Oryzias latipes: one gene and its partner. The protein of the gene in region 2 binds, or shares a complex with, the protein of the main gene of each other region. Links are inferred from orthologs where the notes say so. Each region holds a gene or a part of one and is shown on either strand. Other genes may lie near its edges.

Region 1 (4,274 bases), on a different chromosome or scaffold from region 2:
TTCAAGTTTCCATGATCACAAATAAAGCAAAGCAAATATCTAAATAAAATAAACGTCTGTTTAAAAAAAATAGCTAATAAAGTTTTCAGAACAGAAGCTCTAAAAGGAAAACATTTTCACACATTTATTTGTTCTTCCCTGAAAGACGAGAACATGGAGCTGAAGAAAAGCAGAACTTTGTGCTTTAAAACAAACTCAAGTCTTTTTTTGAGTCTTGGTTTCACCTTAAAGCAAAATGAAAAGAATCAAATCCAACGTTATTCAACTTTTCTCTGTTGGAGATGAAGACCGTGACTCAAACCTCCTTTATAAAAATACAAACGTGGAAACATCAGAACAGTCTGTTGGAGGAGGAAGACTCTGATCACCCTCAGATCTTCATCTCCACGGCTCCCGCTGCAGCAGACCCCTCCCCCTGAGTCCACTGTTGCCGTGGAGACGGTGAGCTCAGTGAACCACAGAGTTGAGCGGCTCGGCTCGGATGTTCCCCAAGTCCAGCGTGGAGTCGGTCTCTTCGTCGATCTCACCGATCACCGCTCTGATGAGGAAAAAAAGAATCGCCACGCCGTCAGAATGACCTTTAGAGCCCGCTGGGGGGCTAAAGTCCCACTCCCACCAGCTTCTGATCTATTTTCAGATGGTTCGCAGTGCAGAGTGAGCCCATCTTCATTTCCCATCATCCATGTGTTTACACTCTCTCCTGCTAGCTTACAGCCCCTCACCCCCCCATCTTAACATTAATGGAACAACAAAAACAGCAGCAACATCAGGTCCACCCGTCCAGTTCTGATCCAGATTCCAGCTCAGACCAGGAGAACAGACGTTCATGGATCTGTTGGTCTGCAGGTGGATGATCAGAAAGGGGCGGGGCAGGGAGACTGTGGCCCCGCCCAGAGTATTTTCTACGCTATAAATGTAATTTTTTCCCATCAGCATTTTTTTCGTCTGCTCCTGATTCACAACAATTTGATTAAAGAAAAACTCAGAAATTGATCTCAATGATCTGAATCTATGACCTCCATCATCAGAAAACCTCTACAAGAAGAAGAGCATTTTCATCAGAGCGGCTCTTTGCCCCTGGAGGGGGAGGATTCTGTCGACCTGTGGACTCGAACCCACGGGCTGAAGGTAGACGCTCTACTCTGCTGCTGAGCTGCTTTTACCTGCTGTTTTCAGATCAAATGTCCTTTCAACTGTCTTCAACTGTTTCCTGTTTCTCTGTGTTCTGATGGGAGGACCGGCGGTCTCAGACTCACACGTTGTCTCCTCTGACGATGTAGAGTCCCAGCACCACCTGCTCCACGCCCTGACTGGAGCTGAAGACGCGCTCGTGACTCTCATCCAGGATGAGGTTGATGGTCTGATCGAAGCCTTTCAGAGTTCCCTGAAGAGAATCAGAAATGAGAAAATGAGGCTGGGCTCCAACCGAAAAGAGCGGATCCAGCCGAGGACAGGAGGAGCATTTGAACTCACCACGATCATCCTGCCGTCTGAAGTGACGATGGCCACCGTACCTGAGCCAGCATCGGTCAAAGAAACTCATCCAGAACACATCATCACCTCACAGCTTCTAGGAAGCTCAAAAATCTCTACAGCAGCTTTTCCTCTGAGTTCAGAGCGAAGTGTCGGATCCAAAGTCCCCTGGACTCCAGATACCAGCAGAGAAAAAGTTTAAGAAAAAACTGAGCCCAGGTGACCGAAGCCCCGCCCCGACTTCTGGTTGGTGGAAAAGACAACATGCTGTACAGATTCAGCCTCAAAGAACAAAAACCTTCACAGCTGCTTTTCTGTTGCTGAGAATAAACTGCATCCACTGCTGCCTAATTGAAATCAGAAACACAATTTTTATTGGAGTTGATTAAACTGAGTCAGTGTGATGTTACTTTTTACTGTTTTTTTGTGGTTTGCTTTTCAGCAAAACAAACTTCTCTGCAGCTGATTTAAATACGAATTTAATTATGGGATGTAGGAGAAATTAGCACGAATCTGTAAGATAAGATTCAGTTTCACTGAAGACACGCGGGGAAACCAGCAGCATGTTTTCAAAAAGATGAACTCTGGGAAAATAAAAGCGGTTTAGAAGTAGAATTCCTGATATTCATCATGAAGTTCTCAGAATGTTTTGGTTCCTGTGAGGAGATCCTCCTCCAGAACTAAAGAGATTCATGCAAATCTCTTTAATCTCTAGGAATAATCTAAGGAAATATAAAAGAGCATTTCTCCTAATTATTTATTCTTTACTTCTACTGACAAACCCGGTTCTCCAATGATCGATGAATAATAATCAGGAAACGATAAGAAAAATAATCTGGTTTAAACTTTCTGCTGAAAATAACCCAAAAGGCTACAAATTCTTATTTTTGCACGATACCCGAACAAAAGCACAAAATAAACAGTGTTTGAAATCTAAAGATGAATTTAGTTAAGCCTACTAAATAGACATTTAAATTACACTCTTTATATTTAACAAAACACGAGTTTTCGTTAGCGCGCTAAGCTAGCAGTTAGCCCTCCATTCATTTAAACGGCGGTTAGCCTGTTAGCCGCTAGCAGCAGCGGAAGGATACGGTTGATGTAGCTCTCCAGCGCGGTGGACATGTTTGTCCGGAGCTCCTTTTTTATTTATCCAGCTGGCGGGAAGACTTGCGTTTGAAACAGGCTAAGAGAACCCGCAAAAACACCGCACAGGCTAACGGCGGCAGCTAACAACAGCCAGGCTCAGCTAATCTCACACAGATTCATAGAGCTGAGGCGTCAAAGCGCGCATGCGCATGTCCTCCTTCTTCTTCTGTGTTTTCTTTTGGCGGTTAGCAAACACCCTGCTGGCGCATTAGTGTCACCACCTGGGACGGAGTTTGGAGAAATTGTTTTTGAGCTGTTCTTTACTTTTAATTTCCATCCTCACACATTCACACATTATTAAAATCTGCTTTAAAAAGTGTTTGTTTAAAGAACTTAATTAAACAAATAATCATACAATTAAATGAAATGACAGCTCCAATCTGAACTTTTCAGGCTGTTTTTCTTAAAATTTATTTTTGTAACAAATACTTCACACATTCCAGCATCATCAGAACCAATCATTAGATGTGGTCATTATCCGGTTTCACGTTTCTCTTAACGGTTTAGGATCCAAAACTAATTCTAGCCTAGTTTTCAGTTTCTCCTTAAAGACCCACTCTGATGTGATGTTTTTAACATGTTCTTGTAGCATTTTTCTCGTAATGGAGAGCATATATAAAATTATTTAAGATAAAACTGCGTTTCTAAGTACTTCTTTATTAAAATCGTAAATCAGTAGCAAAAAAAATGCCATTTGAAAAAAACTCCCAGTTGTTACGCAGCAACAAAGATGGGCGGGGCCACAGCCTTCCTGCTCCGCCCCTTTCTGATCATCCACCAGATCCATGAACGTCGTCGTTCTCCTGGTCTGAACTGGAATCTGGATCAGACCTGGATGGATGGCAAGCTCTGATACTGCTTGCTGTACGGTTACACTAGTAAAGTTAAGTTGGGGTTGTGAGGGGCTGTAAGCTAGTGGGAGAGAGCGTAAACAAAGGGATGATGGGATATAAATGGAGACGTATCTCCATTTTAACATTCAGACCAGGCCGGTTGAAGAACCTCACCTGATCATCTGTTCTGCGTCCTGGACGACCTCGGATGATCAAGAGAGAAATTAAGATTTCCTGAAGAAGATTTTGACTCAGAGATTTTTACAAATGTAAAACTTTAGTTCAGTTTAATGTGAAACATTATATACATGACAGGAAACCCAAACAGACACGTTTGAATGCATGTGCTAATGTTAGACCACATGTGGAGTCACAGCCTCCCGTCTCACTTTATTGTTGCTCAGTATTAAAAAAACAGAAGGTGGGGTGGGAGGTGGGGGGTGAATGAAGGCTGACGGGACTGGGACAAACACCAGGAACCTCATGCTACCAAAGTATTAAATTTGTACAAAAATACTTTACAACATCCTTGTTCCTTTAAAGAAAACAAACATACAGTTTGGTTGGTGAAGCTACATGAAAACGACTCTGACCCACTATTTAAATGGCAGTGCTGTGCACGTGCGTGTGTGCGTGAGTGAGTGTGGGTGGGTGGATGTACTGCCGAGCTGGAGTGCAAATCCTTGCAATGTCACACACACGCACAATGACACACGCACGGTTAGAACATACGCACAAACACAGTGTGTATGGCTTTAGATCTCACTCATTGAGCCCTCTTAAGCCACGCCCCCTTTAGCCATGACCACTGAACACGCC
Region 2 (4,146 bases):
AGCAACTTGTATATGAGATACAGTTGCAGTGCTCAACATTGTGATCATTAAATGGAATTTGACCATTTTTTTACAATGAAAGACATATTGAAATTAAGTCAGATATTTTTCTAAGTCATTTTCTTTTTAAAAAAGAAAGAAAATGTGCTCCGGTACTATATAAGGATACGCATCGTATCGTCAGACTCTTGCCAATACACACCTCTAGTGCTTAGGCTGTCTCTGCAGATGAAGTAGTAACATTGGTATTGCCCTTATATAATTTTTTTGGATTTTTGTGTTGTCCACACATAGGAATAAAGTGTGTTTCTTTAGAAAATAAAAGGACAAAAAAGAGAAAGCTTACATCATTATGTAAGGTTTCCTTGATTGTGTTGTGTCAGAATATGCTAGGCTAGCTCTCCATTAGTGGTTAACATTTCAAACAAATTTCAAATATTCCCCAAACACAGATTTTGTGTACCTAAAGATGAAATCTCACAGCAGATGGTATAAGTTAGTGAAAGAATTTACATTTTTAAAGGTAAAGTGAAATTATTTACTGCAGTTTTAGAAATGCCATTTACAGATGTATCCAAAGTCTTTTTTTTAATATATTTTCCATATGCAAAAGAAAAAACTCAGATAAACTGGGAAGGTGATAGTTTTACCTTTTAAGACCCGAGCTAATATTTGAGATAACCCTCTACACATAGTCACAGGGCCCCAGTTAAGCAAAATTAACAACTGTGGTAATATGTGATGTTCGCACATGTGGACATCAGGTCTTAAGAGGTTAAAGATATTTTAGCCAGCCCATTCTATTCGTTTGCCTCCTAAACAATCTGCATCTGATCGTTTTTGTGTCACACCTATAGATCATCCTGCTTCGTACTGCCTTAAACCTTTAAAAATTTGTGTCATTACTGTCCATTTGGTTAAACCAATATAAATCAATCATGCACTTAAAATTGTTAAGATTCATTTCTATCACTTTGAAACGTTCCTATTAGCAAAATTGTCAACTTTTTTCTAATACTCCCCAAATAGTTTTTTGTTGGTTTAAGACATGGGTAGGCAACCTGCGGCTCCGGAGCCGCTTTCATCCCTGTGCTGCGACTGTCTGTATTTTTGTAAAATACCTATCATGTTCTAAGATTGTTGTAGAGCCTTTAACACCGTCGGGTAGCGCGAGCGGTCAGGAGGAAGAGCGCAGCGTGAGCACGCGGAGGGGGCGTGTCTGCACATGTGAATACTGACCAGAGTCTGGTATGGGATGGAAAGTTCTTCTATAAAGACAGTCAGCGGTAATCTCGTAGGGGCACAAGATCAAGGTTGTGTAAAATGGACAAAAGATCAAAGGAAACATAAGGCTCATAAATAATTAAAATAAATAATTAAATAAATATCCTGACAGCATTTTGAATCAATACAAGTATTGTCAAATGAACTATTGCGACATTTCAAAAGCAAAACGCTTTATTTCTAACACCCCTTGTGTTGCGGTTCCCTGTGCTTTCATTTCTGTGGGAAACGGCTCCAAATGACTCTTTGAGTGGTAAAGGTTGCCGACCCCTGGTTTAAGACATGCATTAAATCTATTTGATTAGGCTACTTTTACCTAATCATTTCTGCAAAGAAACAACTCCAAACCACATCTCTCTACCATAGTCACCTAAACTTGACCAATAATTCCAATTTCTTTAAATGAGTTCTTAGGCATGCCTTATGCAATGTAAATATTTTCACCATATTTGCATGTTTCAGACATACATCGCTGTATTTAAAAATAAATTAAAACTATGATGAATAGGTCAAATATCATTAACCAATGATTTTGGGTTATTTAACTGACTATGCATACCTACTATTCAGTGTAAAGTTAAAACATATAATCTAAAGGCATACCCCCTTGACTAACGTCATTATGTGCAGAAGGCTTAATCAGTATTTTTATTGTAAAAATGTAACCTCTTACCATTGTTTCCTCTCAGAAAGGCATCCCCATACTTGTTCTTGAGCTGTCCATTAACATACTCTTCTGTCTGTTCAATGGCGATGTTCATGTAACCATCCAGACAGGCCAGAACACCTGCATAAGTTATAGCAAACAGGAACAAAGTTTTGGTTAAAGTCTCATTCCTTAACAGACATTTAGAAATAACAATAAAGGAGAACCGTGCGGCTGAGCCTGGCACGCCAGGTGTTTTACCTCTGTAATCCACACCAGAGTTTAGTTTGACCACCACTGGTCTACCAATTATCTGCTTAAGGAAGTCACTCGGCGTTTGTTTTCTCATACTCATCTTGCTTGATCTGAAAAATAAAGGTTTTTGTATATTAGCCTTTTAGTTTCTTGTGCTAGCATCGCCATCGTCCTCCATGATTAGTTTTATGTTTAATAGCGTGGATTTAATACATAAAAAACGATGTTTTATTTCCGCTAAAATACCACATAAAAAGCCCAACTCTCATTTTTTCCAACCACGTGCTGAACTACAGAAATAAGCATCAATGAACAAATTAAATCACTGAGCAAGCGGGAGACGTTAGCTGCTACTGCTAGCGTAGCTAACCATCTGGCTACTGACGGGGTTAACTGTCTAATGTCTGTAGAGATAATGCCGGAGGTTCTTTAAGATTTTCTAAACAATTGTATCTGCAATGTAAATAGGCTAAACGCATGTTTGCTTTACAAGCAGAGGTAAATGGCTTGGTTTACATTCCACTCACCTGCTATTACGTCTAGCAAACGACTGTTTTCAACGACACCCGCGAACTACCCAATCATATACGTGCAGTCTATGGTAGCCGGCCGTTGTCAAAAATATCGAAATCGCATTAAGTAGCAAACGCGCTAAATTTAGAAAATCTGTTAATAATAATAATAATAATAATAATAATAATAATAATAATAATAATAATAATAATAATAATAATAATAATAATAATAATAATAATAATAATAATAATAATAATAATAGAACTGTTTACTGTTTTCAAACCATTAAACTCTTAACCGGCTTTTTTCTAAAGCAGGACACATGTCAAGACATTACATTCTAATTTAAGTCCTGTAAAATAAAATAAAAAGTTCAAAACTACTTTTTTTTATGTCAACACCGGTTGGATCAATTCACAATTTTTTATCCCAGAACTGAAGAGTTTAGCATATTACGTTTTTGCTGCATGTTGCACCAGTTGCTATTCATTGGCAAAGAGAGCAATAATTAGTAAGGGTTGTTTATAGGCAAATGTTAGGACTTAGAATAAGGCAGTCAGAGGAAGTTATTATTGAGACCTGAAATGTCAAGTCACATGCCTGTTTCAGCTGAAGAAACATTTAGTACCTTTGGACAATCTGTAAAGGCTTGAATCTGCAGAATAAACCTGTTAGACGGACAATGTTACAACCTAACTGGATGTTCTATGGCTTCAGCAATTAAACAGTGAGAAAAAAAAAACAAGTGAGCAATTGATCGAGCTCACTTATGTTTAATAAGCTGAGAAGGCCACCAGGAGAAATCCAGTTAGAGCTGGATGCATTCTTTTGCTGGGATGCTTTTAACATTTATTCACATAGTTTGGATTTAAACAAGTCCTAAACTGTGTCAGAGATACACAACTCACAAAGGGCAGAGCAAAGCATTTGATTAATCATCATTAGCTGCACTAAAATCAAGACAAATTAAAATTTGGAACAGTAGAAAACTTCATCAGCCAGCAAAACAACGCCAAGAATGAATGCCACACAGAAGACCGTGGAACAAGCAGAACATGCAAAGAACTGCAAACATTGTTGGATTCAGTTGAGGTCAAAGCGCATGATATTTTACACTTTCTGATTGTGACAATGTATTTGTGAAAACCTATCAGACAAGAAAAATAGAAATGCTAAGATTAAGTATTTGTTGTGTATAAAAGAAGTTTAAGTAGTTACAAAGTTTATACGGACAACATTTGGAGTAAGTTCAGTGATGAGGCAATCAAAACCACTACTTTATTGTTTTTGATGTTCTCACTGGAATGTCTATGAATAAAAACATCAAGGAAAGTTTAAAGTAATATCTAACACACTAAGTTTGACTGTTTTATATATGAAATATGGCGATCCGTTTTTGGACAAAGAACTTCCGCTTTTGCTAGGTCATGAAGATCAGCAATCTT

The links. The genes of interacting proteins can lie anywhere in the genome.
Region 1: lsm6 (region 2) and lsm8 share a complex: the UniProt entries of both Homo sapiens proteins name them as parts of the precatalytic spliceosome. The link is inferred for Oryzias latipes from reciprocal best matches to the Homo sapiens genes LSM6 and LSM8.

What each region holds. Positions count from the first base shown.
Region 1 is NC_019881.2:23,243,759-23,248,032, forward strand, and holds lsm8 (LSM8 homolog, U6 small nuclear RNA associated), read right to left. Parts: upstream 2,801-4,274; 5' UTR 2,599-2,800; coding exon 2,568-2,598; intron 1,515-2,567; coding exon 1,474-1,514; intron 1,385-1,473; coding exon 1,257-1,384; intron 539-1,256; coding exon 448-538; 3' UTR 101-447; downstream 1-100. UniProt on the Homo sapiens protein: Plays a role in pre-mRNA splicing as component of the U4/U6-U5 tri-snRNP complex that is involved in spliceosome assembly, and as component of the precatalytic spliceosome (spliceosome B complex).
Region 2 is NC_019859.2:18,489,252-18,493,397, reverse strand, and holds the start of lsm6 (U6 snRNA-associated Sm-like protein LSm6), read right to left. Parts: upstream 2,801-4,146; 5' UTR 2,713-2,800; intron 2,296-2,712; 5' UTR 2,286-2,295; coding exon 2,192-2,285; intron 2,072-2,191; coding exon 1,958-2,071; intron 1-1,957. UniProt on the Homo sapiens protein: Plays a role in pre-mRNA splicing as component of the U4/U6-U5 tri-snRNP complex that is involved in spliceosome assembly, and as component of the precatalytic spliceosome (spliceosome B complex).